Linked DNA regions of Mus musculus. The protein of the gene in region 3 interacts with the protein of the main gene of each other region in a biochemical or structural test. Links are inferred from orthologs where the notes say so. Each region holds a gene or a part of one and is shown on either strand. Other genes may lie near its edges. The genes, in order: Sp1, Sumo1, Rnf4, Parp1, Ube2e1, Ube2w and Pml.

What was found.
Region 1: the proteins of Rnf4 (region 3) and Sp1 form a complex in vitro, tested with the Homo sapiens proteins (2 studies listed by BioGRID, with this or other methods). The link is inferred for Mus musculus from reciprocal best matches to the Homo sapiens genes RNF4 and SP1.
Region 2: the proteins of Rnf4 (region 3) and Sumo1 form a complex in vitro, tested with the Homo sapiens proteins (5 studies listed by BioGRID, with this or other methods). The link is inferred for Mus musculus from reciprocal best matches to the Homo sapiens genes RNF4 and SUMO1.
Region 4: the proteins of Rnf4 (region 3) and Parp1 form a complex in vitro, tested with the Homo sapiens proteins (2 studies listed by BioGRID and IntAct, with this or other methods). The link is inferred for Mus musculus from reciprocal best matches to the Homo sapiens genes RNF4 and PARP1.
Region 5: the proteins of Rnf4 (region 3) and Ube2e1 form a complex in vitro, tested with the Homo sapiens proteins (2 studies listed by BioGRID, with this or other methods). The link is inferred for Mus musculus from reciprocal best matches to the Homo sapiens genes RNF4 and UBE2E1.
Region 6: the proteins of Rnf4 (region 3) and Ube2w form a complex in vitro, tested with the Homo sapiens proteins (2 studies listed by BioGRID). The link is inferred for Mus musculus from reciprocal best matches to the Homo sapiens genes RNF4 and UBE2W.
Region 7: of the proteins of Rnf4 (region 3) and Pml, one has a biochemical effect on the other in vitro, tested with the Homo sapiens proteins (3 studies listed by BioGRID, with this or other methods). The link is inferred for Mus musculus from reciprocal best matches to the Homo sapiens genes RNF4 and PML.

Annotation. Positions count from the first base shown.
Region 1 is NC_000081.6:102,404,950-102,409,115, forward strand, and holds the start of Sp1 (transcription factor Sp1), read left to right. Parts: upstream 1-1,366; 5' UTR 1,367-1,466; coding exon 1,467-1,473; intron 1,474-2,324; exon of another isoform or gene 2,325-2,466; intron 2,467-2,822; coding exon 2,823-2,983; intron 2,984-3,266; coding exon 3,267-4,166. UniProt on the Homo sapiens protein: Transcription factor that can activate or repress transcription in response to physiological and pathological stimuli.
Region 2 is NC_000067.6:59,668,035-59,672,163, reverse strand, and holds the start of Sumo1 (small ubiquitin-related modifier 1), read left to right. Parts: upstream 1-1,329; 5' UTR 1,330-1,472; coding exon 1,473-1,484; intron 1,485-4,129. UniProt on the Homo sapiens protein: Ubiquitin-like protein that can be covalently attached to proteins as a monomer or a lysine-linked polymer.
Region 3 is NC_000071.6:34,349,750-34,353,249, reverse strand, and holds part of Rnf4 (E3 ubiquitin-protein ligase RNF4), read right to left. Parts: intron 3,339-3,500; coding exon 3,179-3,338; intron 2,461-3,178; coding exon 2,412-2,460; intron 2,020-2,411; coding exon 1,870-2,019; 3' UTR 1-1,869. UniProt on the Homo sapiens protein: E3 ubiquitin-protein ligase which binds polysumoylated chains covalently attached to proteins and mediates 'Lys-6'-, 'Lys-11'-, 'Lys-48'- and 'Lys-63'-linked polyubiquitination of those substrates and their subsequent targeting to the proteasome for degradation.
Region 4 is NC_000067.6:180,578,891-180,582,390, reverse strand, and holds part of Parp1 (poly [ADP-ribose] polymerase 1), read right to left. Parts: intron 3,238-3,500; coding exon 3,023-3,237; intron 1,859-3,022; coding exon 1,756-1,858; intron 1-1,755. UniProt on the Homo sapiens protein: Poly-ADP-ribosyltransferase that mediates poly-ADP-ribosylation of proteins and plays a key role in DNA repair.
Region 5 is NC_000080.6:18,329,045-18,333,246, reverse strand, and holds the start of Ube2e1 (ubiquitin-conjugating enzyme E2 E1), read left to right. Parts: upstream 1-1,402; 5' UTR 1,403-1,560; intron 1,561-2,112; 5' UTR 2,113-2,145; coding exon 2,146-2,297; intron 2,298-2,320; exon of another isoform or gene 2,321-2,351; coding exon of another isoform or gene 2,352-2,383; intron 2,384-4,202. UniProt on the Homo sapiens protein: Accepts ubiquitin from the E1 complex and catalyzes its covalent attachment to other proteins. Catalyzes the covalent attachment of ISG15 to other proteins. Mediates the selective degradation of short-lived and abnormal proteins.
Region 6 is NC_000067.6:16,616,452-16,620,503, forward strand, and holds the start of Ube2w (ubiquitin-conjugating enzyme E2 W), read right to left. Parts: upstream 2,801-4,052; coding exon 2,786-2,800; intron 1-2,785. UniProt on the Homo sapiens protein: Accepts ubiquitin from the E1 complex and catalyzes its covalent attachment to other proteins.
Region 7 is NC_000075.6:58,246,987-58,251,212, reverse strand, and holds the start of Pml (protein PML), read left to right. Parts: upstream 1-1,426; 5' UTR 1,427-1,522; coding exon 1,523-1,672; intron 1,673-3,774; coding exon 3,775-4,226.

The DNA.
Region 1 (4,166 bases), on a different chromosome or scaffold from region 3:
AGGAGCATCCAGCCCGTAAAGTAGGACACATTAAGTGATTAACTGTATTAGTTCCAAGTACTAAACGTGGTGACACCAGTCAGTGACAAAGTTTAAATGAGGAGAAAGAAGGCGAAATGGAGGCCAGAGATTGAGGTGCCTAAGGCAAAATCTTTAACCTTTGTGATTGCAAAAGGAAGTAACTAGGTTAGCGTGCTTTCTACTAAGAGGGAAAATGGAAGTAGTTTATGAGAGCTTGGCTTCACGAAGTTCCCCAGCGTGCGTTACTCTGAAAGCTGAGTTGGTTTAGCAGGTCTGGGGCAGCTTAAGAAAATGGCGCTTGCTACATCTTCCCGAAAGACTTCCATATTGGTCAGCTCAGTCGACTTGGGTTTTCGCGTGCCGTCACCAAGCTGTCGTCCCGCCCGCCGCCGCAGGGCTTCCACCCACGGCCAGGGGGAGCCGCCCGCCCATCCCGGCAGGGGTGACATTCGAGGGGTGCTGTGTAGGAGCGGGGAAGGGACAACCCGAACAGTCTCGGGCGACGCGACACTCTCGCCCTCACGCGTCTCGACTCTGACACTTGTGGAGGGCTCCACTCAAGCGCACACCCTAACGAGGGAAGGAAGCCTCCCGAGGAGGGCCAACATGGCGACCAACTCCTTTTGGCACAGCCCGGTTCCCTCCTCAGGATGGGCGGCCCTGTAACGACCATTGGCCAAAGCTAGAGGCGGTGCCATGCTGCCTTCGCTGCCTCATTGGCTTGAGTATCGGAGGAGGAAGCCTGTTCTCCTCTCCCCATTCCAAGTTCCAGCCTCCACCTTCTCCTCGGCGCGTAATTGGCTGTTCGTTCACGTCAATACGCGTCCTGTTCCGGCTCTTTTCAGTTATCGTCCAATCAGAACTTTCTTAACTGCCCGCCTGAATTCTGATTGGTTTAGGAAGCTTGCTCCTATCCCATTCCGGCCTATTTCTTACTCTTCCCCCTACACGGACTTTGCCCAGGCATGCCCAGGATTCTGGTTGGTCGTTGTCCTGTCTTTCTTACTTAAGCTCTTCCTATCCCTACCGCTCACGGAGCCCGCCTGGAGGTTGACTGGTTTCTCTGCAAGTCCATCGTCATCTCATCCCGCCCACCACCACTTCCTGAGTTTCTAATTGGTTGCTAAAACTGAGAGGGCGGCCTTTCTGGGCGGAAACCAAGTACGCAACTTGCTCTTACACGCCTCAGCGAGAGAGCGAGTCCTACCATTGGGTAGGCAGCCCGCCTTTCCTCTGCAAGGCCCTCCTTTCACCCTCCCTCATTGGGCGGGGCAGTAGATAAGGGGCGGGGATTAGGCCGGGCTTGTGGTGCGCTGCTCCCTCCTCCTTACCCCCCCCTCCCTGTCCGGTCCGGGTTCGCTTGCCTCGTCAGCGTCCGCGTTTTTCCCGGCCCCCCCCAACCCCCCCGTACAGGACCCCCTTGAGCTCGCCCCTCAGCTGCCACCATGAGCGGTAAGGATGAGTCCACTCCGAGCCTAGGGGTGGGAGGGGAGTGAGGGGGCGCGCGCGAGGACCGACCGGGCGGTCCCCGCTGTGAGGGGGGGCGGGCGGGAGGCGGCGGCGGCGGCCTTGGTCCCGCCCGGGGCGGAGGGAAGGGAGGGAGAAGGGGCAGTGGCGGGGCCTCGGAGGAGGAGGGGGATGGGCTACCCGCCCCGGGGGAGGGGGCAGCGTGGCCTCGCCCGCCCCCTGCCCGCCCCGGCCACGAGGGACGGGCCTTACCCCCCACTACCCGGCCGGCCGCCTGAGGCTCCTCCCGTCGGGGGCTGGCGCCGCGGGGGCGGCCCGACCAGTGCAGGCCCCGCCTGGGCCAACCGCCTCCCCGGTCCGCCCGCCCTCCGGTCGCAGCCTGCCCCGGGCCCTCCCCCGCACCCCCGTAAATTTCCCTTCCCCCATCCGACCCGCCCTTGCCACGCCTCTATCCCCGAAACCGCCCCTTCCTTCTTTGGACCGCCTCCTCAGCCCCAAACCTGGGTTCTAATCCCTAGACCCTTACCTGTCCTCTCAGATGTTTCCTCACCTTCTCTTAGGATTTACTCTTTCTCAGTCCCTTCCTGTTATTGTTTACACTAGATCTTTCTTCATCTCTTATAGTCCTAATTTTAGCACACTTTCCATCCACCCACATGTTGGGTCTCCTTTTCCTTCCAGGATGCATTTTTTTTTTTTTTCTTTTTTGAGATAGGTTCTATGTGGTATTCGTAGTAACTCGAAGTTACTATTGCAGCCCTCAGACTTTTAGCTGTCTAGGTGCCTCTTCCTCTTGAGTGCTGGGATTAAGAGTGCTATCAACCCTAAGGAGCAACTCTTTATTTCTGAGACACTGAAATTCCAAATTCCCTTTCTCAAAAGGGCTATTTGTATTGGGATCAGTTCTTACTCTGTAGGCCTGGAAGACCTAGAACTGGTGAACCACCTGGCTCATCCTTCCAAGTCTTGGGATTATAGGTGTGAGTCACCATGCCTAGCTTCCAAAGCAATTTTTGAGTCATTTCTGGGGTTAATTTGTGCATAGGAAAATAGTGGCCTGTCTTGGGCACCATTAAGCTATGTGTCTATGGCTTTGGCATCCCAATTTACTATGTAGCTGAGGATTTCTTTGAACTTTTGCCTCCACTTCCAAATTCTGGGATTTTAGGCTTACCACCATATTTAGACCTATCTGGCTAAGATCTTTTTAAAAACTGTTCTGTCAGTCATTGCTGACGGTCAAATCCTTAATTTTAAATCTTATGTTGTTTTTAACACACCCCCCCCTACACACACACATACACTTAATTTATTTCTTTTGTAATTATTTTTAGACCAAGATCACTCCATGGATGAAGTGACAGCTGTGGTGAAGATTGAAAAAGATGTTGGTGGCAATAATGGGGGTAGCGGCAATGGTGGCGGTGCCGCCTTTTCTCAGACTCGAAGCAGCAGCACAGGCAGTAGCAGCAGCAGTGGTGGCGGAGGAGGGCAGGTGAGTGATCAAGGATGGGGAATGTGTTGAAAGGGTATAAATATTCTTAGAAACTTCCTTAACCAAAAATTCTGGGAAGAAAAATACAGTAGGGAAGTACACTCAGAAAGATAGGTGATCTAGAGGGTCCCCAGATACGAAAGTTGGAACAGTATACAGAAAGTGAGCATTTTGTTTCTGGTTTTTGCTCTATATTCCTGCATTGTTGCTGTTTTGTCTGTTGAATACTGCCCCCTAGGCCAGCTATTGGGTGCCACTAACTCCTTTCCTCTCTTCTGGCCAGGAATCCCAGCCATCTCCTTTGGCTCTGCTGGCAGCAACCTGCAGCAGAATTGAGTCACCCAATGAGAACAGCAACAACTCCCAGGGTCCGAGTCAGTCAGGGGGCACAGGTGAACTTGACCTCACAGCCGCACAACTTTCACAGGGTGCCAATGGCTGGCAGATCATCTCTTCCTCCTCTGGGGCTACCCCTACCTCAAAGGAACAGAGTGGCAACAGTACCAATGGCAGCGAGTCTTCCAAGAACCGCACAGTCTCTGGTGGGCAGTATGTTGTGGCTGCTACCCCCAACTTACAGAACCAGCAAGTTCTGACAGGTCTCCCTGGAGTAATGCCTAATATTCAGTATCAAGTAATCCCACAGTTCCAGACTGTTGATGGGCAGCAGCTGCAGTTTGCTGCCACTGGGGCCCAAGTGCAGCAGGATGGTTCTGGTCAAATACAGATCATACCAGGTGCAAACCAACAGATCATCCCAAATAGAGGAAGTGGGGGCAACATTATTGCTGCTATGCCAAATCTACTCCAGCAGGCTGTCCCCCTTCAAGGCCTTGCTAATAATGTGCTCTCAGGACAGACTCAGTATGTGACCAATGTACCAGTGGCCCTGAATGGGAACATCACCTTGCTACCTGTCAACAGCGTTTCTGCAGCTACCCTGACTCCCAGCTCTCAGGCAGGCACTATCAGCAGCTCTGGATCCCAGGAGAGCAGCTCACAGCCTGTCACCTCAGGGACTGCCATCAGTTCTGCCAGCTTGGTGTCATCACAAGCTAGTTCCAGCTCCTTTTTTACCAATGCCAATAGTTATTCAACAACTACTACCACCAGCAACATGGGAATTATGAACTTTACCAGCAGTGGCTCATCAGGGACTAGTTCTCAAGGCCAGACGCCCCAG
Region 2 (4,129 bases), on a different chromosome or scaffold from region 3:
CTAAATTCAATTCCCAACAACCACATGAAGGCTTGCAACCATCTGCAACATCTACAGTGTACTCATATACATAAAATAAATAAATAAATCTTAAAAAAAAAACCCTAAAACAGTCTTACATAAACACCGTTGAAACATTTTAATTTTGTATATGCAGTGAAATAGGGATTTAAATTCTTTCTCCTTTCGCATGTGAATGTTCAGTATTTTCATTAGTAATTATATTGTACCTACTAATTTTTAATTTTGTATGGGTGTTTTTGTCTGAATGTGTTTATGAACCGCATTCAGGCTTTGGCTTGGTGCTGAAAAAAGTATCTGATTCTTGGGACTAGAGTTACAGGCAGTTTTGAATGCATGCATGGGTGCTGGGACTCAGACTTGAGTCCTCTGGAAGAGTAGCCAGTGCTCTTTGACTACTGGGTCATTTATAGTTGGCTCATTACTATTTACAGAAAAGATTATTTTACTAATGTCTTGTTCTGTGAAGGGTTTTTGATTTAAGTTTTCATTTTTCCCCCTTTACTTATTATAACCTTAATCCTCCTTGAATGCTTGTGCAAGGTCACTGTATTCAAAGGAAGCAGTTTAGGTCTTTCTATGACACAAGGCAACTAGTTTATGCGTTGGAAGGCGCTCCTGCCTACAACTTCAAAACTTTCAGTAGCATTTTAGTTGTCTGTAGCCACCAAGACTTTGTTCTAGCTGGGGGTGTGGTGGCACTTGGGAGGCAGAGGCAAGAGGATCTCTACGAGTTGGAGGCCAGTCTGGTTGACATTGCAATGTTCTATAATAGCCAAGGCTATTAGTGAGACCCTGCCTCAAAACACAAGAACAAAAGATGTGTCCTGAAGGGTCGTCTTTTTGTGCCCCCTCATCTCCCCCGCCCCCAACAGGGTTCTATGTCCTGTCCTGGAACTCACTTTGTAGATGAAGATGGCCACGAACTCACAGAGATCCGGTAGCCTCTGCCTCTATCACCCGGAGTCACGAATGTGGCAACAGCAAGCATGAGGGGCCTATAAAAATACTATACGGGTAATTCACTATATTCAGTGAGGGTTGGTCCGGGCCTCAGAAGCGCGCAAGTCGTCCCACCGGGAGGAGCCTAAGCAGTCAGTTTGACCCCAGACATTCGGCCTGCAGGCAAAGCGCTGGTCTCCCTGAGGGCTGCGGCAGCGGGCCTGATTCTCCCTCCCTCCGAAGTCCTAGCAGTTCTCTTGCTCCAGGCAAGTAGTTTACAACCTGGAGGATTTTAGCCCCCGGCCTTCCTTACGGCGTTTTCCCGCTTCCTTTTCCCGTCTTCGCTAACTCGCCTCTGCGCGCAGCGGAAGTGACGCAAGACGTAGAGGAAGTCCCTGCAGCCGCGGTGTTGTGCTGTAGAGAAGGGACGGATTTGTAAACCTCAGAGTGAGGTTCTGCCTGCCGGAGGCCGCAGTGGTGCGGAGACCCCCGGGTGAATCCACGTCACCATGTCTGACCAGGTACCGGGCCGGGGCCTTAGGGCTCAGGGCCGTCGGCCGCGGGCTGGGGCCCTGGACTGAGGCGCGGGGGAGGGGGCGGCTGGAGAAGGGGGCTGCCCGTGGGGAGGGGGCCGCGAGGGACGCGGGGCGCCTGGCGGAGTCGGGCCAGGCCGCCTGGGACCCCGGGGCTCTGGGTTCCACGCGCCCTCCGCGCCCCTCTCCGAGGCCCCTACCCCCGCGCCACCCGGCGCCGGGGCTCTCTCGACGGCGCCCAGGTTTCTCGCGGGCTCGCAGGGGGCCCAGGCCCGCTCCCTTGTCCCCGAGAGCAAGCTGAGGGGAAAACGACCGTTTCCCTTCGGACGACGGATGGCAGAAACCAGGCCCTAGGCCCAGTTATGTAACGGGAGGGAAATCCCCGACTGGGAGGCTAGGTGGCCCTGAAAAGCAGCTCGACTCCACTTTGGGTTCTTGGTCCCGGAGAGTGGGGGGCGGCCGGGGAGCCGTGTCTGAGGTGACTGGGAGCCCAGAGGACGCTGCTTTTCCGTTGTGTTTGCCTGGAGGGTCCGTCCATCTCTGCACACCTCAGTCTTTTTTTTTTTTTTTTCCTTCCGGGGGTGCGGAACGGTCCGCTCTTTCGCTGTACTTTCCATTTCTTACTCGGGATTGGTCCATCAACTCTCCAGTTCTCAGAGCGCTCAGAATAACCGAGAAACAGCAAACTGTGTATGGAGTGCCACCACCAACAAGCCATTTCGTCTGGGCTTTAACCAGCAGATGCTTGGCACTTTAAAAAAAAATATAGCACGTTTTTTGTTCTTTGATAATCAGATGACGCATTTAGATTATATGCACCCCCAAACCTCTCTTCCAGAAGTTTCTGAACTAATTTTCGAAGAAATAGAGAAAAAAAAAGTTATCCGTGTTGTACAATTGCAGAATATTTGCAGAAAGCTGTCAATTAGTAGTAAAACAGTGTGTCTCGGTTTTGGAATCAAGGATTTGCATGGTATTTGCCTTCAAATAGGAGTGACTCCTTGCCACCTAAATTTTTCTTCATCCTATTTTAGTTACTACCTTTGTGGCTAGTTTTTATATACATAAGGTTTTGGTCTGACTTTGCTTTGGTTTGCTCAGATGACTTAATTTTCAGAGTATTTTTTTTTTAACTTTTTCTTCTTTTGTGATAATTATTCAGTAAACTTTTTCATTCAACTTCACAATGTAGTTGGACTTTTTTAAAAAAAAAATTTGTTGTTGTTGTTTGAGACACGGATTTTCTGTGTAGCCTTGGCTTTCTAGGAACACTCTGTAGACCAGGCTGGCCTCCAATTTATAGAGATCGGCCTGTTTCTGTCTCCTGAGTGCTGGGATAAAAGGCTTGTGCCACCACAGACTGGCCAGGGTGGTTCTATTTTTATAGCCTATCTACACTGTAGACTAATTGTGGCATGGATTTACTTATTAATAATCTGAATTAATCCTCTTTTGGGATAGAAATGACTTTATGAATAATTTGTTTATGACAGTTGTTTACTTAGTTACCAGCTCAGAAAGATCAGCTGTAAATGCTTAAGTCCTGGAACTCTGTAGACCAGGCTGGCCTTGAACTCAGAAATCCCCCACTACCTCCCAAGTGCTGGGATTAAAGGCGTTGCCACCACGCCTGGCCTTTGTTTTTTCTTTTCTTTCTTTCTTTTTTTTTTTTTTTTTTTTCTTTTTTTTTTGGGTTAATGCTTAAGTTTCATCAGCCTTCTATTTTGGAAGAGCTAGAAAGCATGTTAGCCTGAAGAGAGGGCAACACACAGAAAGAGTTCTAAGTTTTAGGATTAGTTTTGCTCTAGTTTGAACTCACATTATATAAGGATATGGAGAAAGAAAGGAGGACCCAAGGGCACACACAGGGTTTCAGGGGATCGCAAAGTCACACTGTTGCTTGCTGTAGCACTCACCTCACTGGTCACCGGGGTTATTAGGTGTTGGACCTAGGGCCTCCCACATGTGCTTGCCAGGCAAGTGCTACAGCCTCATTTTTTCTTTTACTTTGTTTCACTAAGTTGCCTAGGTTGGACTGTAGCACAGCTTGCCTTTGAACTTGAACCTGGACTTCTCTCAGCCTTGCAGAGTAGCTGGGATTACAGAGTTATACTGTCACGCCTAGATGGTGTGTGTGTATGTATGTGTGTGTGTCTGTTTTTCTCATTCATGGATATTCAGTGAAGTTTTTAAGAAACATGACAGAAAAATGGAGCAAATCTTTTTTGTAGCCTTACAGCTTCTCACAGTTTCTTCTGTGTCTATCTCCTGAGTGCTGGGATTAAAGATGTCTACCACCACACCTGGCAAAACAAGTCTTTTTAATTGAGCTACACATTAAAGCAATTTGCATATGAAATAGTGCTGCTACTCTTAGAAATTTTGTCTTTAAAAAAAGTAATAAAAATGTATGCTAACGTTTTTTAGGGGTTATTTATTGATTCAAGTTAAGGGTTTCTCTGTAGCCTTAGTTGTCCTGGAACTTGCTCTATAGATCAGCTTGTCCTCAGATCTGCCGGCCTCTTACTCCCAGAATGTATATACCACCATGGCTCAGTTGATAGGTTTTTATTTTTTTTAATTTATTGTATATATGAGTACATTGTAGCTGTGTTCAGACACAACAGAAGAAG
Region 3 (3,500 bases):
TCAATTTAATTTAGGATAAAGTAATAGAACTTTTATGATCAACTTCATACACCGTCCTTGAGGAGAAAACAAATTTTTAAGTGGGTGTTACCACATTTACTGGTGAACTGGCTGCATGGTTGCCTTGTCTCTTTGAAGTCTGGCTTTCATTAGACTAACAAGACCAAGTCCATGAGGCCCACAAAGAAATCAATGGCTGTGACATCCAAGGGGGAGAGGAGAGCACACACATCACAATGATGAGAGCTAATGCTCTTACCCTCTGAGTCCATGTAGAAAAAAAAAACCTATTACTCTCATTCAAACTAACTGAAGTCAAACAGCTAGAAAGTCAGAATGAAGAATAAAACTATTTTCTTTTCACATAGAGGAGGGCCACTCCTTCAGCTCCATTTAAAGTGAATTCTGTGCTGAGTCCCTGCTCCTTCAGAACATTACACTGAAAGTCAGTTATTGCTAGCAAAGCTCCAGTGGTCCCTTTCCCACCTCAAAGATGTTTCACACAAAAAGGCTATTGGTTTGGCTTGAAGCCCTCTGAGGAAGTAGTGTGGAGGTGGAGGCAGGCTGGCATTCAAGGCCTATCCTCTACAAGCCGCCCTGTGCCTGGTGTCCCCAGGGGCAATTTTCCACCTGTCTCCGTGAGCACCAGAGTCTCCCACACATATACGGTGGAGCAGACATTGTTATGTGGTCCCACTGGAAGAGGCACCATGCTTTGCTGACCAAAACCCACTGAGCAGTCAAAAGTCCAGAGGATCAAAGCTCAACTGGCTAGAAGAGCAAGCAGCTTTGGAAATACCTATCTATTCAAGGGGTGTGGGAAAAGCTAGGGCAGTGGAGGTTGAGTAGGGCAACACCTCTGACAAATGGGCAACGGTGACTTGGGCAAAAGCATGTAAGTGAACAGCTGATAAGGCCATTGCTACTGCTACCACCTCCTATTATACTATGCTTGAGCAGACATTAGGCAGTGGGAACTGAAAAACTGAGGGTTGGAGGGCACTGTAGACAACACAGGACCCATCTTAGCATTAAAGAGAGGACACTCAAACACTTGTCCTATTAGCCTTCAATGTTCTGTGCCAGTAAAAGAACTTTGGAGCATGGGTAGGGTTCCTGAGAACAGCTGGTGAACAGACATGGGGTGGGATGAGCACTGCTCCCATAGGCGACACTGGGCTGAGGATACCAGCAGTGCTACAGCTTCCAGATTGCTGAAGAGCAGGTGAAGAACGGGTTTTATTGCACTTTCTCATTCTTAGGGAACAGGATCGTCCTGCAGAGTCACTGGATTTGCAGAAAACACTGCACACCAATGATGAGTTTCAGGCGGAATCATAGGTCACCTCTGCTCTCGTGGGAAGGAAACTAAAAGTCCACCTTTTCGTGGCTTTTCGTGGGCAGCTCATGCACTGGTATCCTTGGGCTATTTGGGCTGTCTGGCCAGGTCACTGTCTGGCAGGCAGAACAGCTAACTGACAGGTGCCTTGGGAAGGTTCTGCACACACAAGAGCTGGGGCAAACTTTCCCAACAGGGAAACTACTTGGCCAACATGTAAGCTCCATAAAGAGGCTGGAGCCATGATGCTCAACCCCAATATGCCCGACTCCTTTTTTCCCTACTCTGGGCTCAGACCACCCAAAGGGGCAGTGATGCTGAGCTGATCTAGGAGGATCCCTGGACCGTGCTCCATAGCATCAAACGAGATAACAAAAGGATCTAAGGGGTTGGAAAACAAAAGACCAGTTTACATCAGACATTGATTTTTGAAAGTCTTTTTGAGCTCAGGAAACTGGAGGCAGATACCATGCAGAAAAGGCCAGCCTGGCTGTCTGTCCATTGGTCTATCCTGAGCAGTTGTGAACATTTCATATATAAATGGGGTGGTACCGCTTATGGTTGATCTTTTTCCTACAAGTTGGGCAAGTGTTAGCATTCTTAAGGGAATCACGGAGGCACTGGCTACAGAAGACGTGGCCACATTCTGTAGAAACAATGAGACGCCCATTCTGCACAATCTAGAAGACATTAAAAGAACAGCCTTAAAGTATCCCTTTTTCTACAAAGACCCGAACCCACCCATCACCAAAGAGACAAGTGAAACAAAGAAGGGCCTGGGTTGTATCAGAAAAAGCAGTACACTCAAGAGTTTTGAACGCTGTCTGTGTGACAGGTGACAGACAGGACTTCCCCAGGTGCAGCAGTACAAAGTGGCTATGGGGAACCTCAGAAAAAAATCAGCAGCTTCTAGATAGGGCTGGGTTGGAAAACATCGATTTGCACAAGGGTTAAAGATAAAATGTACAGGGCCCACCACCAACTGGCACAATCCACTTTGACACACACTTTCTCCAAGTACTTTTGAGTAAAGTAGGGCAAAACCAACAGGAGAAACAACTAGGTTACTTACCTCAGAGTATCCATCCATACAGATAGGACAACTGACGGTACCTGAGGGCCTAAAATCACAGTGCTTTGCATCAGTTTTTAAGTAAACTCAAAATACTTGATTAAACCCTGTAAAGCAACCTCACATACGCAGTCATATCTTCTCAAGTCTCTCATTTTTGTTGAGTTAGGACAGGCACCCAAAAAACTTGAAGAGAAATTAACTGCTTGAAGGGCTGGGCTCCAAAAGCCATTGAAAAGGGGAATAAGCAAGAACAGGTCTAGAAGATGTGGACAAGTAGGCTTGCCCACCTCTTTTTTTTTTTTTTTTTAAAGATTTATTATATATAAATACACTGTAGCTGTTTTCAAACACACCAGAAGAAGACATCAGATCTCATTACAGATGGTTGTGAGCCACCATGTGGTTGCTGAGATTTGAACTTAGGACCTCTGGAAGAGCAGTTAGTGCTCTTAACTGCTAAGCCATCTCTCCAGCCCGCCCACCTCTTTTGCTTCCAGCATTCTTGCTAGTAGCACCTGTAAACACAACCTACTTATAACCACTCCATGAGCGAAAAGCACACCCTGGTCAGTATGTATGGCCCTGTCTGTCTGTCAATTGGTCTATCCTGAGCAGACAGCTGAACCCAACCCTGTATTCCAAATATGCCTACCTAGCTGCTTGGAAGATACTTGTTCTAGAGCAAGAGCTTACATACCTGATAGCAAATGCAGAATCTATATACCCTGGCCTCCACCCAACACAACAGCAGCAGAGCTCTTTACCTGGGTCCAGTAGCTCCATCATCCTTGGTGCTTCGAGGAGTATGGGTAGTCACGTACACATCTTTGTCCCTAGACAGCTCCTCATCATCACTGCTCACCACACAGCTGTCAGCATGGTCTTGGCGCAACCTCCTCCCATTTCTCCTTGGCCTTCTCCTTTCTAAGGAAAAAGCCACATTTTCAGCCATCTTCACCTAACCCACTTACCCTAGTACTTCTAAAAGCCTTTCCCTCTGTTTGAGATCTTCAGGGACAAACTGCCACCATAGTAGCTGTACCCTCAGAAGGTCCTGTCCAGGCACTGAGGCCAATCACTTGCCTT
Region 4 (3,500 bases), on a different chromosome or scaffold from region 3:
TGCCTTGATCTTGGGGCCATCCCTGGGCACTGCGACATTACACAAAGAGGAGCGACTTCATTGCCATTGAGGCAGGGAGTGTGGGCCTCCTCCTTTTGGGATAATAAAAGGTCTGGGTTATACACTTTAGGAAGTCCAAGAGGTAACTTTTAGGGGGAGACTGGAGTAAGACAGAATCTCACTCAGGAACCCTGGCTGGCCTGACGTTCACTATGTAGCCCAGGCTACCCTCAAATTCATAGAAATTCTCTTGCCTCACTCAGTCTTTACTGGACTGTAAACGAGTTAATCAGGGCTAGCAAAATGGCTCAATGGGTAAAGCCACTTGCTACTGGCCTGATGACCTGAGTTTGACTCCATCATCCACATGGAGGCTTACAGCACCATCCCTAACTTGGCCCAGGTACCTGGATGCCCTTTTCTGACCTCTTCCAGCATCAGGCAAGCATGTGGTACATAAACATATACAGAGGTAAATAAAACACTCATTCACATAAAATTTGTATATATGATTGACTTACTTTGAAACCTCAACTCAGGTTACTAGACTAGGTAGACAGTGTTCTTCCTGGCCAGGCTCTACCGCCAGTGCCAGGCCCATCAGTGAGCCTTCCTTCTTCTGCATACCCTTGATGGGGCTGGGCTGGCTGTTTCTCCAAGGCTAGTATGACCAATTCCACCCTCAGGTTTACACCCCCCACACTCAGGCAAACCCCTGTACAATCAAAACAAAGCACAGAGAATCTCTTGTGCACTGTATGGCATCACCTGTCAATAGAAAAAGCTGTTGGCCTATTAGCTCAGGCAGGAATAGAAGGTGGGAGTTTCAGTGGGAGGAGAGGATGCTGGGATAGTTAGGTGCAGAAAGGGGATTAGCTGATGGAGATGGTCTGATGAACCTAAGAAGAGGTAACTAGCCATATGGCAGGACTTAGAATAAATGGGGTAATAAGATACAAAGTAGGGGAACTAGCTGAAGCTTTTGGCCTAGGCATTTATTCATAAGTAATCTAATCGCAGAATTGTTATTTTGGGAATTTGGATGAGGATGGAAAAGCCTACAATTACAATAAAGCCAGGCAATCCTCTCAGAATACATTTGCAAAGTATGAAGGAGACCACTTGTAAGTAAGACTGGATCCCTTATTGCATGGGTCCTGGTGTCACCCCCTCAGAAACCTGTTTCAAGAGACAGAAGTGACTGGAAATGCCTGGTCCCCATTATCTTTCCCAATACCCACTTGTAGATTTCCCTCACTTAAGCTCAAGCAGGTATATATGCGACCTCTTCTAGAACTGGGACTTTAAAATCTTGATTTCAATGTCTACAAAGTGCCTACTTTTTGCTGGTGTTATGTAGCATCTCATTCATTCTCACAACTATCTGCCAGGAGGTATGGCAGGGTGAGCCTCCACGCTCCTTGGGACAGCAGGCCAGGAGGGTTGAGCAGCAGGCTGCTCCTCCCAAGATGGAAAGGAGAGCGCTGGCCATACCGACACCAAGGAAAGACTTTAACTCCACTGACTGAGGCACCTACAAGCTCACTCCCTGCTTTCCACTCCCAGTGCTGGGCTCTCAATACCAACATCCTTATTACTACTCCCCATGGTAGGGCACACAGTGGGAGGCCAGAAGGTCTGTGAGCACAGGGCTCATGGAAATAGCAGACCTCTCTCTCTCTCAGTGATGAGTGTGCACTGGTCTCGGTGAGCAGGGTCGGCGGGCGGGCGTCTGTCACAGAGCCGAGGACTCACCTTGAGGGCCTTCTCCAGCTTACTACTATCCTTGTCCTTCCCTTTCTTAGATTTCTTTTTGGCCACTTCATCTGTTCCATCCACCTCGTCACCTTTTCTCTTTCTGAAAGAAATGCAGGACTTTATAAGAACCCACAAGACCGATGCTCAATGCAACCAGGTAACATGTCACTTTAGCCATTTTAGCTGCCCACCTGCCCTCTTAGGTACAAGTGCTACCTGCAGCCAGGCAGACAGGAGAGGCCACGCCCTTCAGGACCTTTTCTGCCAATAAGGAGGGGCCTGGAGTTCACCCTAGTGTCCAGGACGACCAGGACAGACCAAGGGCTCAGGTCACACTTCATGCTAAACCCCACATCTCTGGCGCAGAGTGACAGGGAATTGTGGAAAAGCCAAACACAACTGTAAGAACTGAGCCTGGAGTGAGACAGGGAGCTGCTCCCCAGATCTCCACGAGGCCTGAGTTCACCCTGGTACTTTCTAAAGCCACCTGCTAGGGACCAGCAGAACTTGTGGGACTATGGCGATAATGAGATCAGGCACAGAGCTGGGCATGTTCCACCTCTCCAGCATCACGTCATAAATAAAGACAGCCGGAGAATCCCAGCACCCTGTGCTGTGACAGTTCGAGGGCACCCTCACCCACTGGCCTGACTTGCTCACTTCACATTCCAAAGCCACCAGTGCTGCTCTATGAACCTGTGTTAGGACCACAAACAGTGCAAGAAGCTGCTTGGTGACAGTGGCATGGGTGTCGCTGATGAGCATGGTACAGTTCCACAAGGCTCAGCATGCTCATTAATAAGACTGAGACCCTTCCCATCCTAGATGCCGATTCCACATGTGGGCCCATCTGTTCTGATTCCAGGCCCTTCCCGCTGTTCATCTTTTTGTGAACAGTCATGATTCTCCCAGAGATGCAGACACAGAGACACCTCTGCTGCGTGACTAAGGCAACGTTAAAGGAACACAAATGCAGATCTTGGAAGCACAGCCATCACCAGAGCAAGGAAGCTTGGATGGCCACAAGGGTGGCCTTGTATGAGAAAGTGGCAGTCTGCTGTACTAACGCCTGGGTGCAGGAGTCGGGAGAGGTTCAGAAGCCCGGGAAGATGTCATGGTCGGCGAGCTGGTGGGTGGGTACTGGAGCAGCAGATGCCCTCTGCTCCTATAGCCTCAGAGCTCCTCTCTTTCTGATCATCATTATCAGAGGAATGGAATCCACAGGCTCCCCTAGAACTGTACATTCTAACCACATCCCACCTACCCTTCATTCTTGATGGCCGGGAGCTGCTTCTTCAGAGCTTCTTTGTCTTCTGCAGAGAGGAGGCTAAAGCCCTTGAGCTGACTGGCACTGTACTCAGGCCGGAAGCCCAGCTCGTCCCGCTTCTTGACAAAGCAAGTTGGATGGTACCAGCGGTCAATCATACCCAGCTGTGGCTTCTCTGGATCCACCATCTTCTTGGACAGGCGCATCTGGCCCTGTAGGGAAAATCATGAGGTATCTAGGGAATAACAAGGCAGGACAAGGACCAGCTAACCTAGGGCCTTGAGTCCAAACAAAGGCACATGAAGCCAGCTTGAAGCTCTCAAAACATTCTGAGTTTTACACCATCACAGACTGTGAGGTACCCTTAGGCCCCAGCACTCACACTCCATGAGACTGATACATGACCTGCTATGCTAATAAAGACCTTGCTTACACATCTTAAATGACTACCTACATACCTATACTTAGACAAGTA
Region 5 (4,202 bases), on a different chromosome or scaffold from region 3:
GTGGATATGCTGTGAGCTTTCTTTATATCATGTGTGTGTGGTAACTGAAGCCACTGTTGCCATGGGAAGCAATGTCAATTTGAATGAGGTAATTTAAAGTGGACCATGGAAATTCGAGTGCTGTTGTCTGCTCAGTACACAAGATCTCTGTGAACTTGGATGGCAGGGGTCTGTTCCCTTCAGGGTAAACGGCAAACTGGTAAGAAACTAAGTCCTAATTTAATGGTGGAATTAAAAAAAATAAATTTCGGTACAGTGCCACACAAGGAACAATTTAGTGGCATTGTTGTGTGATTATCCTAAAAATATTATTTGAATAGCATCATATTGGAGTAAAAAGAAAGTAGGGTGCTTTCTAGAACTTTTTTTCCCCATTACTAAGACTCAGACATATCTAATTTAAGAATTCCAAATCCTGAGGCAGGCGGATTTCTGAGTTCGAGGAGAGCCTGGTCTACAAAGTGAGTTCCAGGACAGCCAGGGCAAGTCCTGTCAAAATCATTGGCTCAAGGTTTATTTTCAGTGATCTTATAATCCCAAGCCCGGTCGTAGTTACCTGTCCCGAACCCCAATTGCATACATTAAAAAAAAAAAAGTCCACATCCTTTTCAATAACAAGTGAAAGGGGAAGGAGGGTGGTATCTAGTATAAAATTGCACATGCCTGGTGTCCTGAACAGAATCCCAGTCTGGGTTTTTTCTCACAGGCGTGACCTCTGCTCCAAGCACGTAATTGCCAGAGGGAGGAACAAGTGTCATCAGCTCAAAGGAAAAACCTGTTAGGGGTCTTTTCCTTTCCTTTCCTTTCCTTTCCTTTCCTTTCCTTTCCTTTCCTTTCCTTTCCTTTCCTTTTTCCTTCTCTTTCCTTTCCTTTTTCCTTCCCTTTCCTTTTTCCTTTCCTTTTCCCCCTTTCCTTTCCTTTCCTTTCCTTTCCTTTCCTTTCGTTTCTCCTTTCCTCTTTTCTTTTCCTTTCCTTTCTCCTTTCCTCTTTTCCTTTCCTTTCTCCTTTTCTCTCCTTTTCTCTCCTCTTCTCTTCTCTTCTCTTCTCTTCTCTTCTCTTCTCTTCTCTTCTCTTCTCTTCTCTTCTCTTCTTTTCTTCCATTCTTTCTTTTCAAACGAATCACTTTTGGGGAGGAGTCAAAGTCCTCGCCAGGAGAGTACCATCTTTTCCCCACACCGGCCCCCTCACTCCCCAGCCTTTTCCCAAAGCCCTCCTGGGAAGAACTTCCCCTGGTCACCCCGGGCTCCACCTGCCCCAGTGGCCCCCAATCCCGCCCGGTTGCCTCGGCTCCGCCCGGCGCGGCGTCCCCAGGCCAAGCCGGGGTCGCTCGGGGCTCCCGGGCCGCGGCCCCCAGGTGCGGCGGGGGAGGGGCGCGGGGCGGGGCGGAGAGGAGGAGTGGCGCGGAGCGTGTGCGGCCGGGGAAGCCATTGCCTGGTTAATAGTTGCTGTTGCTGCACTTCCGCTTCTCTCCCAGTGAGAGCGAGACACGAGTGGCCAGGCCCAGTCGCAGCCGCAGCAGCAGCCGCGGCGGCGGCACGGAGCAGCCAGACACAAAGAGAGGTGCGGGGGCCCCTCAGGGCGGGCGGGCCGCGGGGCCTGGGGCCGCGGGGCCGGGGGACGGGCGGCACCGCCGGGCCGCGGGCAGCAGGGCCGGGCGACCGGGATGGCGTGGCGGGCCCGGGCGGCGGGGGCCGCGCGAACTGTCAGAGCGGCCCGGTCCCCGCGGGGACCCGCCCGCCCGGGGCGCATTGTGCGCGTCGGCCTGCGAGCGCAGCCCCGCGTGGCCCGGCCTGGCCAGGAGCCGTGTCCCCGCGGCCCACGCGGCCCACGCTCGGCTTGCTCACCCACTCTCGCTGCTCGGCTCGTCCCGACCTCGCCAAACTCGAGCGGACGCCGGGAGGCCTGGGGGACCGCGGCGGCGGCTCCCGGCCCTCCCCGGGCCGCCCCCGCGCGATCGTGGCCCCCGTGTCTCTTCGGCCGGTGCGGCGGTGGGCCCCGAGCCTCTGCAGGCAGCGGGGGCGGCCCGGCCCGCGCCCTCCTGACAGCGGAGTTCCTTCCCTCTTTGCAGCGCCTGCATGGTCTGTGTTTCTGTTTTGTTTCCTCCCCCTGCAGGGGCCGTTCGCGGGGTGGGGTGGGGGGTTCGCTATGTCGGATGACGATTCGAGGGCCAGCACCAGCTCCTCGTCATCTTCGTCCTCCAACCAGCAGACCGAGAAAGAAGGCAGCACCCCCAAGAAGAAGGAGAGTAAAGTCAGCATGAGCAAAAATTCGAAGCTTCTCTCCACCAGCGCTAAGAGGTATCCCACTCCTTTCTCCACAGGCATCCGAGCTTCCCAGTGGCCTCGTGCTGCATGTCAGGGAGGGAGGCTTCAACGACGTTCTCGTGAGTTCTCAGGCAGGAAAATGGGGCATGGGAGTCCCACCTGTTTTCTCTACTGCTCGCTGCTTCTGGTTTTGTTAGTGCCCTCGTCCATATGCAGGAGTTGTGGTTGGCCTCGTCCGTTTCTTGTTGAAGTTTCAAGAATCCTCATTACTTTTATGAGTGACTCCCAATGTGATTTCAGAGTCTTCATCCTAGTAATCACGAATCTCTGACTTCCCGGAGGCTGTCATCATACTTCATTATTAAGAGTACCTTCCTGGGCAACTCTGTTAAAACTAGTTCTGACCATCTTTCTTCCTCTTCACCTGTTGCAGGGGTGGTGTTTTCTGAATAGGGTTTTCTCCATACATCGCTTAAGGAATAACTAACTCTCATTAGCGGTTAAAAGAATGTCATGTTTTCTGGCAGAATTTGAAGAACCTTTGCCTGTTTGGAGAGTTAAGGGAGATGAAAGAATCAGTGAATAACTGTAAAATTATTTCAGTTATTTTTGGATTTTTTTTTTCTTTTCTGTTTAAAAACTTCAGTTTGACACTTTTCAGAAAGACTTGTTTTACTAGACAAGGTCTCTTTTGGCCCAAGCTGGCCTTGAACTTAGCACTTCTATCTCAGCCTCTTGATTGTTACAGAAGTGAGCCACTTAGTTCACCCAGCGATAATCTCTCTCTTGTGTAAAAAAAACCAGGTGGATAATTTACCTCTGTCAACCTTAAGTCACATTCTCTGATCCTGTGTTCCTTAAAATAATCTCTAGTAGATACCTGGGAGCCTGCCTCTCCTCTCCTTTCATACCCCCTTTTTTTGTTGAGATGGTTGGCCATAGTAAGGAACAGAAACTCGGCTGCTGGGGAATGGCATTCTTTAAAGAATTTTAAATGAAATGGAAGGTCTAAATGGCTTCGGGTCTCTCTGCTGAGTAGTGAGCCTGGAACTCAAAGATTGTCAGTTTGTTCTGTTGTTTTCCCTGAACTGAAATTCAGAAACTTGGTATGCTGTCTTAGTGAGCTAACTGGACTGATAGAGTAACTTCAGGTCATTTTAAATGGTTGCTGTTGAGGTCTGGAGAGATGGTTGATGCTTTGGTAAAACTGTTATCAGTTTCAGTGGTCTGATTATATCTCAGTCTCTCCAGGGTCTTTGATGAACCCCTGTGAATCTCCCAGAACCTAGATTCTATCCTTCTTGCTCAGGATGGCCTTTCTTGATCAACCCCGGCCTTGAGCTCTCTGTTCTACTTTTGACCTGTCCTGCCCCAGTGCAGGACATTAGCTGTGATGTCACTCCTGCCCCAGTGCAGGACATTAGCTGTGATGTCACTCCTGCCCCAGTGCAGGACATTAGCTGTGATGTCACTCCTGCCCCAGTGCAGGACATTAGCTGTGATGTCACTCCTGCCCCAGTGCAGGACATTAGCTGTGATGTCACTCCTGCCCCAGTGCAGGACATTAGCTGTGATGTCACTGGGGCTTTTACGTTGTGCTAGACATAAGGAGAAAATGGACAGGTATACAAAGTAGTTTTCTTTTTGTCAGTATAGTACAAATAAATAGATTTTCCCATAGACACAGCTTGTGTATGCTTAAGGAACTTAGAAACTTAGTTCTGGGCATAGTAGTACAGGCCTTTTGTCAGCTCAGCCCTTGGAAACAGAAACAGACAGATAGATGTCCTGTGAGTTCAAAGTGAGTTCCATGAGAGTCTGTCTCATGAACAAAATGCCAAACAAAAACATGTAAAACTATTTGATAGCTTGGATAGTAGTGTACTGGCCTAGCAGGCTTGAAACATCATCAAGAATGGTAAGCCCAGGAGTAATGGT
Region 6 (4,052 bases), on a different chromosome or scaffold from region 3:
GCAGCTTCCCCACAGCACATGGGCATGAGAACAAAACCCTGTATCCCTCACCTTCCTAGCCAGCTTCCGGGCTGGGCTCTTCCAGCCGCCAACATCGTCATCTATCTTACTGTACTTAGTGTGAATGGAAGAAAGTTGAGAAGCACTGGCAGGATGCATGACAGCAAAGTCAGACACAGTGGAACAACCTGCAAGCCCAGGACTCAGGAGACCCAGGCAGGAAGAGCGCAAATGTGAGGTAAGCATAGGCTACCCAGCAAGAACCGGTTTCAATGAATGAAGATAAAACACATAAAAGCAAGCTGGGCAGTAGTGGCGCACACCTTTAATCTCATCCAGCACTCAGGAGGCAGAGGCAAGTGGACCTGAGAGTTTAGGGTCAGCCTGGTCTAGTTCCAGAAAAGCCAAAACAAAAACATAAAGGTAATTATAATCTCAAAGTCCACATTCTCTAGTTAGAAGTGAAGACTTTCCTTACTTGGTTTTACTATATATAAAAATTATTTCATTGTTACCAAGTAATCAAACCCCACATTACATATGTATGCATGTTTTTAAAATACAGCAGCTTAAGTAACCTTTTCTTTAGCAAAAACAATATCCCCTAGGGTAAGATGAATTAATGAACACATTTGATCACTTATAGTGTTATGTTAAGTTATTTTGAAAAGAGTTAACTTCTGCTGTAAAGATGGTCAGGAAATAAACTTTGAGCAAAGATACCAAATGAAAACCACACCAAAGAGTGATTCTGCTATTGAGCTGAGAGCCAGTTCAGAAGTTAAGAGAAAGAACTACTCTTGAGAAGACCCTGGTTTGATTCCCAGCACCCATAGCCAATACCTGGCAAGCACCTGTAACTCAGATCCAGAGCAGGTGTGGCCTACACAGGTACTTTCATACCCACATACCCACCCAGAGATAACATACACAATTAAGAAATAAGAAATAAATCTGTGTCAAAATGCTACTATTTCCAGGAAAAATGATCAGATACTTTAAAAGAGATACATATAAAAGGTCAAGATTTAACTTTAGAACAGAAAGGATCCGTTCCCACTCTAATCCAACAAAAGAAAGACGCTGCTACTCTTCCACAGCACTGCCTGAGGCATAGAAACAGGCATAAAAAGCACTTTCCCCCACTGCTGAAGACAAAGTAAATTCCAAAAATAGCAATCTCTTACAAACAAATCTGCCTTTTCCAAAAACTAAGTATAAAAGCTAACCAGCTCTCATGCCAGATACAATCCCAGTGTGGATTTTAATCTTCATTTTTAGTCTTAAATAATGCCTGTATCTTAAGACAGATCACCGTCAAGTGTTAGTAACAAATAATGTCTTAATACAGATAAAAATCTTAAAGCAATCATATAGCCCATCTGCTGTCAACTGATGTTCCACAGTTCCTTTTTTGGCCTCAAATGATGAAACTTCTCTAACGTCTCTGGGGAGACTAGTAAAGTATAACGTTTCCTGAAATTGTTCTTGTTTCACTGCACCATTTCGTGACACCTCTTCACCTAAGAATGCTACTGCAGGAAAGGCCAAAAGTACAAGCAAATGCAAAAAGAATACCATAAGGAAAGCTGATTGAAGGAAGATACAGGGGAAGGAGGGAAATGCGTAAGAATGCAAACCATTGCTAGCAGAGAAGCGCCAACAACGAGATCTTGCTTATTCTTCTAGAAACAAAAACCAAAAATTCTAAGGAAAATGCGGATGTTACTCGAGGATGATGTTAAAACTCCAAAAAGCGTTCCGCTGACACGCTACAAGAGTTCTACTCTCTCTTCCTATGTGCTTTAACACCGCTAGCCCTATCTGCAAATTAAATGCCGGCTATAGATAATGCAATCTCTAGAAACTACAATTGTGGTTGCCATCTTTGCCTGAAAATTTTTTCTTTTATTGGATTTGCAAGGGGGGGGGGGAATACATTAAGTTGGAAGCTACAAAAAACACCTTCAAGTCTGACAGAGCACAGGTTAACAGGCGTCTCCTACCAAACTAAGGTTTTAAAGGTCTGGGAAAGAAAGGCAAAGGAGCCACGGCCTTACCAATCCCGCAAGGGTGGGGCATCGCAAGAAAAAAAAATTTAAGAGGGCGAGTTTCTATCGAGGCCGAGGAGCAGGCCCACGAGCTCGCACGTTGTGGTAGCACAGGACGCTGGGGACAGGGACGAAGGGCGGCTTCGAAGAAGAGACGTGGGCTGCCAGGGAATGCCCAGAGTGCGGGCTGATAGAAGGAGGCACCCACCGGGCACCGGATGAAGATCAGAGAAGAACGAGCATGAGTCCGGCGATCCGAGGCTGCGCGTGGGAGGCCGGGCAGAGGCCGCGGAGCGCCGTGGGCAGGCGGCCGTCCTCGGCGAGGGGCTCTGCCGGTCTCCGGCCGCCCCGACCGCGGGTGACGGCGGCGGGCACAGCTGTTTCCACCCCGCTGGGGAGCGCGAGGGGAAAAGCATCCCGGCGGTGGCCAGGGAGCCGAGCGGCAGGCATCCTCGCGTAGGGGCGCGGAGCGGAGCCCCCACCGCGAAGCGCACGACGAACTTCGCCCTTTCTTCCCCCTAAGCCGCCTTTATGCCACAACTTCGCGGCCGCTACTGTCCGCGGCCACCGGCCGACACCCCCGCTCGGCTCGCCGCCAGGCGATCCCCCGACGCCCCGAGGTCAGGGAAGGTCGCCCGGAGCCAGGCCCAGAGGTCTCGGACGCCGACCCCGCGCAGACGCTCACCTCGTCTCGATGGCCCCCTCGCCCTCCCCGCTGCAGCAGCTCCGCTCACCTGCATTGACGCCATGATGAAACCATCCCCCCAAGGCCAGCGAGGCCCGAGACGCAGGGGGCGGAGCCGCCGTGCTCGCGTCACGCCGCGGGGGCCCAACATCCCGGGCACGGGGGTGGAGTCGCCGATGGGAAGGGGCCCGCGTGTCCGATTGGCTAGCGCGCGGGTGCCCGGGGCGGGGCGGGGCGGGGCCAGGCCGGGCTCCCTAGGTACCTTGCATCCCAGCCAATTTATACGCGGGCCCACCCTCAGTGCTGGCGGAGGCGCTGCTCCAGGTCGGACTGAAGCGTTATGCCGAGGTCACAATGCTGTCCGGGCATTTGGCAGGGAGGGGATCTCATTTTGTTTTTCCAGCTACAAGTGTAAGATTTACAGCCCACCCCCTTCATATGTCTTTTTTACACCTACCGTGTTTTCGCTCCTGAGGCAGATACAACTTCGCCTGGAGATGCTTTCTGGTATTTGCAGACCTAGGAAGCTTCTACTTTGAGGGGCAGAGAGTCACAGGTTTCCCTATAGGACAGAATGAAAACTGAGAGCAGTGATCTTAAAAGCAAGAACAATTGGATTTGAAACGTGCTGGAAAGGGAAGGAGGGTGAATAATGGAGTTCCCTTTTGTGTGCAATTTTCTAGTTCCCTAACCCTCTAAATTGTAAAGTCCAGGTATACCATAAGAGTCGTTGTTACATCAGTCTTACTTTTGATTAACAATTTGACTCTAGCCGTGAAATCTCAATATAATGAATATAGTTTACGTAATTTAATACTTAATACTTAATACTTAAACCTTCTGCCATGCCTAGATTTCTCTTCACCCTATTCTGTGGTGGGCAGTTGCATGATCAGACGACCTATGAGTGAGCTTGAGTAGAAATCGCTGAGCATACAGAATTTATTCTAGGAATGCACCAGTTCTGCCAGCATTTATCAGAAGTCACATTTTTAAAGCTCCTCCGGAACCAAAGATGTCGTTTACTTAAATACCAAACGAAAAATGGAAGCCAAAAGCTTGCACCTCATGTCCTGTCTCTAAAGGAATCAGAGAGGATGGCATGTTGAGTAGAAGGCTTTTACTTTACCCGGATGAAAGTTTAAATCTTTATTTTTATTGACTTGGCTTCATTTTTAGACATTTCTCTAAAATATAAATATAATGGTGATGTAGGTTATCACTCTCACACTTAAGCTAGAGCACGATGTTCCTCTGAGAACATCCGTAAGGAAATGTGTTCAAGAGAGGAAAAGATGTCTAAATCTGCCAGTTTT
Region 7 (4,226 bases), on a different chromosome or scaffold from region 3:
ACATCACATAATTTAAAAAATTGAGGAAAGAAAACACAAATATTTGTACACAATATAACTGATCTTGGCCTAATTTTTTAAAATATTTACTCAAAATATTTATATGAGTACACTGTAGCTGTTTTCAGACACACCAGAAGAGGGAATCAGATTCTATTACAGATGCTTGTGAGCCACCATGTGGCTGCTGGGAATTGAACTCAGGACCTCAGGAAGAACAGTCAGTGCTCTTAACCGCTGAGCCATCTCTCCAGCCCTTGATGGGCTAATTTTAAAGGCCAAGGGATACTGGTCAGCTTAGATGTATGGCCTCCACAGTCTCCAGGATGTTGGGTCTCCCTTTAGAACCCATCTCACCACAACTCTAAGTTTACAAAAGCAGGAACCTGTTACCATCCCTTTTAATCAGTTTCACATAGGAACAGAGAATAGGCACATAGGGGCCAGAAAAGTGGGTGGGAACAGACTGAAGTTAGAAGCCAAAGGCACTGGCCAATGAGAGTGTCAGCAGGTGTGTGTTTTCCTCACCCACTAGTTTCTGGATTGCTTTTTCTTGGTCAAAAAGCTAACTTTGTATCTCTTGTTTTCTTCACCACTGCTGGCCAGCTCTCCCCTTGCCTCCCTGTTGTCTACCTCTGTACGATGCACAGTCATCAGACCCATTCAACGCTGTTCTGTCACCACGGTCCTTCCACTGACTCAGAACTAACTCTGTGTCCCACAGTTACTTCTCATAGGCCACCTGCCTCAAGGTCATTCAAGAGACGCAGCTGACACGCTGTAAGAAACCCTTCACCAACTCTCAGATCATATGTAGAATCGGTCCATTTCTCACCGTATGATTCATCTCATCTTCTCTGGTATCACTTCGCAGGAGCCCCATCTTAAATCTGAAAATGGCCCTGACTACTTCCCAAACTGGCTCTCCTGTTTCAGACCTCCACTCCTTTCCAAGTGTTTGTCTCTCTTTAAAATGTCTGAGCAGCTCTGAATTCCTGGTCATTTTCTATCTCATGCTCCATTCTCAGCTGAGGGATGCCTTTCCAGGCAAACCCATCCCAGTACTGAGTCGAAGTCTCCACTAGGGTGCACTTGGGAGGCTCTCTCAAAGAGGAGTTTATTTCTCTACCTGGCTTTTAACTAGAAAGACATATAGCTGTGGAATGAGTCCAATAGCTCACAGACAGGGAAAAGCCTGTCAGCTCTGTTTCTCTCCTGGTGTGCATGCTGCGTACGTGGCCGGATCTTTCCTTGTTCTGCTAATGAGCCATGCCCGCATGCCGGGCTTGTTTACTTGCTTGTTTGGTTAACCTTTCTGACTCTACCAGAGTTACTTCCATAGCTCCCTAGTCTTTCTCTTAACTTTGGAAGGGAGATTATAGAACCAGCCTCTCCGCCCCTAGACCCGCCCAGCCCTGTCTCACTTCCTCTCGGGAGGCGGGCTCTCCTCGGGCAATCTCTCGCTCAGTTTTCTGGCTCAGATCTGAGACCCATTTCCCGCCTTCACAGACCTAATCAAGAAATGGAAACTGAACCAGTTTCCGTGCAGAAGGTACCTGCACCCCCTGGATCTCCCTGTCGACAACAGGACTCTGCCCTGACCCCCACGCCCACCATGCCTCCCCCAGAGGAACCCTCCGAAGACTATGAACACAGCCAAAGCCCTGCAGAGGTACTACTGGGTTAGAAGGTGTAGGGCTATTAGGTTTTTTTATTCGTTTACTTTGGTCGAGGAGTTGAGGATGAAGAAGGTCGTTATAGAGAAGTAAGTTAATGGGTTAGTGTCCTAAAGAGACACCAAGGTCCTGACCCTCCTGGCTGGGCAGAGGTAGAACTGATAGCCTAGAGTAAAATAGGAACAGGGGCCCGGCGGTGTGGGGCACACCTCTAATCCCAACACTTGGGAGGCAGAGGCAGGTGGATTTCTGAGTTCAAGGCCAGCCTGGTCTCTACAGAGTGAGTTCCAGGACAGCCAGGGCTACACAGAGAAACCCTGTCTAAAAAAAAAAAAAAAAAAACCGGGATGAGTTGGATTGTAACTGGGGATAGTTGGATTGTAACTCCTACTCCCTGAAGCCTTGCCTGAAGCGCCTACCTCAGATGAAAGACTATAGTCCTGTGGAAGGCCTGGCCAGGAGTCTTATTTGCTCTGGCCTGGAGCTAAAGGCATGTCCCAGACTTGGCAAAACTATAGTCGCCCTCCCTGACCCCCACACCAACACTTCCCGTTTTTCAGCTGTGGTTGCACATCCCAGGAGCAATAGTGCTTGGGATGGTAGGGCTGGAGGGAGGATGACAAGTTCCAGGCCAGCCTAGGCCACAAAGAGAGTTCAAGACCGCTGAGGGCATCACAGCAAGACCTGTTTCAAAACAAAACAAACAAACAGACAGAACCTGGCTCAGACCAAAGTGCCTGCTAAGACCAACAGGATTCACACAGCTGCTTTCTCTTTTGATTTTCATCAATTTATTTTATGTGTATGAGGTTTAGGGATTTATTTTATTTTATCTTTTGGAACACAGGGTCTCACTCTGTAGCCTTGGCCGGGCTGGAGCTTGCTTTGTAAGCCAGGCTGGTCTCAAATTCATAGAAACCACCTGCCTGCCTTCTGAGCTCTGGGATTAATGTATGCGCCACCAAGCTCATTTTCCTAAGGAAGCCTAGTTCATGGCCTTCCTGGGAGTATTGCCTCAACCTTCCATACTCACCCTGGAAGGAACTACCTCCATCCCATTATTCTTCACTCATTTTTCCCTTCACAAAAAACACAAATAAGGTCACATTGCCCTAACTTTTTATTATTAGCATTATATAGCTAAGGATTAAAAATACTAGTTGACATTTATGGGTACTTCTCTCTCTCTCTCAATCTCTCTCTCTTTTTTTTTTTTTTTTTGGTTTTTCGAGACAGGGTTTCTCTGTATAGCCCTGGCTGTCCTGGAACTCACTTTGTGAACCAGGCTGGCCTCGAAATCGCCTGCCTCTGCCTCCTGAGTGCTGGGATTAGACTTATGGGTATTTCTCATGTGCCAGGCACCATGGTATTGAGCTCTTTGAACAGTAGCTCCACCTTCTATACCTATGAACTAACTATTATTATTTTATATGACATGACTGGAATTACACAATATTTCTAATTTTATGGCAGGCATATTATTTCACCATGTCTTCAAGGTTCATCCAGGTTGTTGAATGTATCAGGATTTCATTCCTCTTTCAGGGTGAATACTATTTTGTTACATTTGCAGACACATTTTGTTCATGCGTTCATGTGCTAAGGACACTTGGGTCACTGTGACTTTTGTGGGGGTGTTGCTAGGCACATTAGTATATAATTATATGCTTGGATATTTTTTCCAGTTCTTTTGAGTATATATATGGAAAGTGGAAGCTTGGTCATACGGTAGTTTAAGTCTAACTTTTTGAGGGTCATCCTGCCAATTGTGTTAAGCACTTTATATGAAGTTGATACTTTTCCAAACTTGAGTCCCTTAAATGCAAAGATGTATCTATCCTATCTTGTATCTCAGGACCTACTAGTGAGTCTAATGATAAGCAGATGGGTGCCCGGTAAATTGTGCAGTGAGAGCTGCAAGGCTCGAAGTAAATGAGGAACTGGGGTGCCGATAAGCCAGGACATGATCCAATGACTCCCAGGAATGGAATGTGAGGTCCTACCCTCTCCAATCTCCAGCTGAAGGGATGGGCGGCCAGTGGAGGGGACAAGACGTCTGGGCTTTCTGTAGGCCTCACTTCTCTCCTTGGTTCACTAGCAAGCCATACAGGAGGAATTTCAGTTTCTGCGCTGCCCGAGCTGCCAGGCCCAAGCCAAGTGCCCCAAACTGCTGCCTTGCCTGCACACGCTGTGCTCCGGATGCCTGGAGGCGCCTGGCCTGCAGTGCCCCATCTGCAAGGCTCCTGGGCAGGCCGATGCTAATGGGGAGGCCCTGGATAACGTGTTCTTCGAGAGCCTGCAGCGGCGCCTGGCGGTGTTCCGGCAGATCGTGGATGCTCAGGCTGCGTGCACCCGCTGCAAAGGCTTGGCCGACTTCTGGTGTTTCGAGTGTGAACAGCTCATTTGCAGCAAGTGCTTCGAAGCACACCAGTGGTACCTCAAGCATGAGGCCCGGCCCCTGGCTGATCTCCGCGACAATTCAGTGAGCAGCTTCCTCGACAGTACGCGCAAGTCCAATATCTTCTGCTCCAATACCAACCACCGCAACCC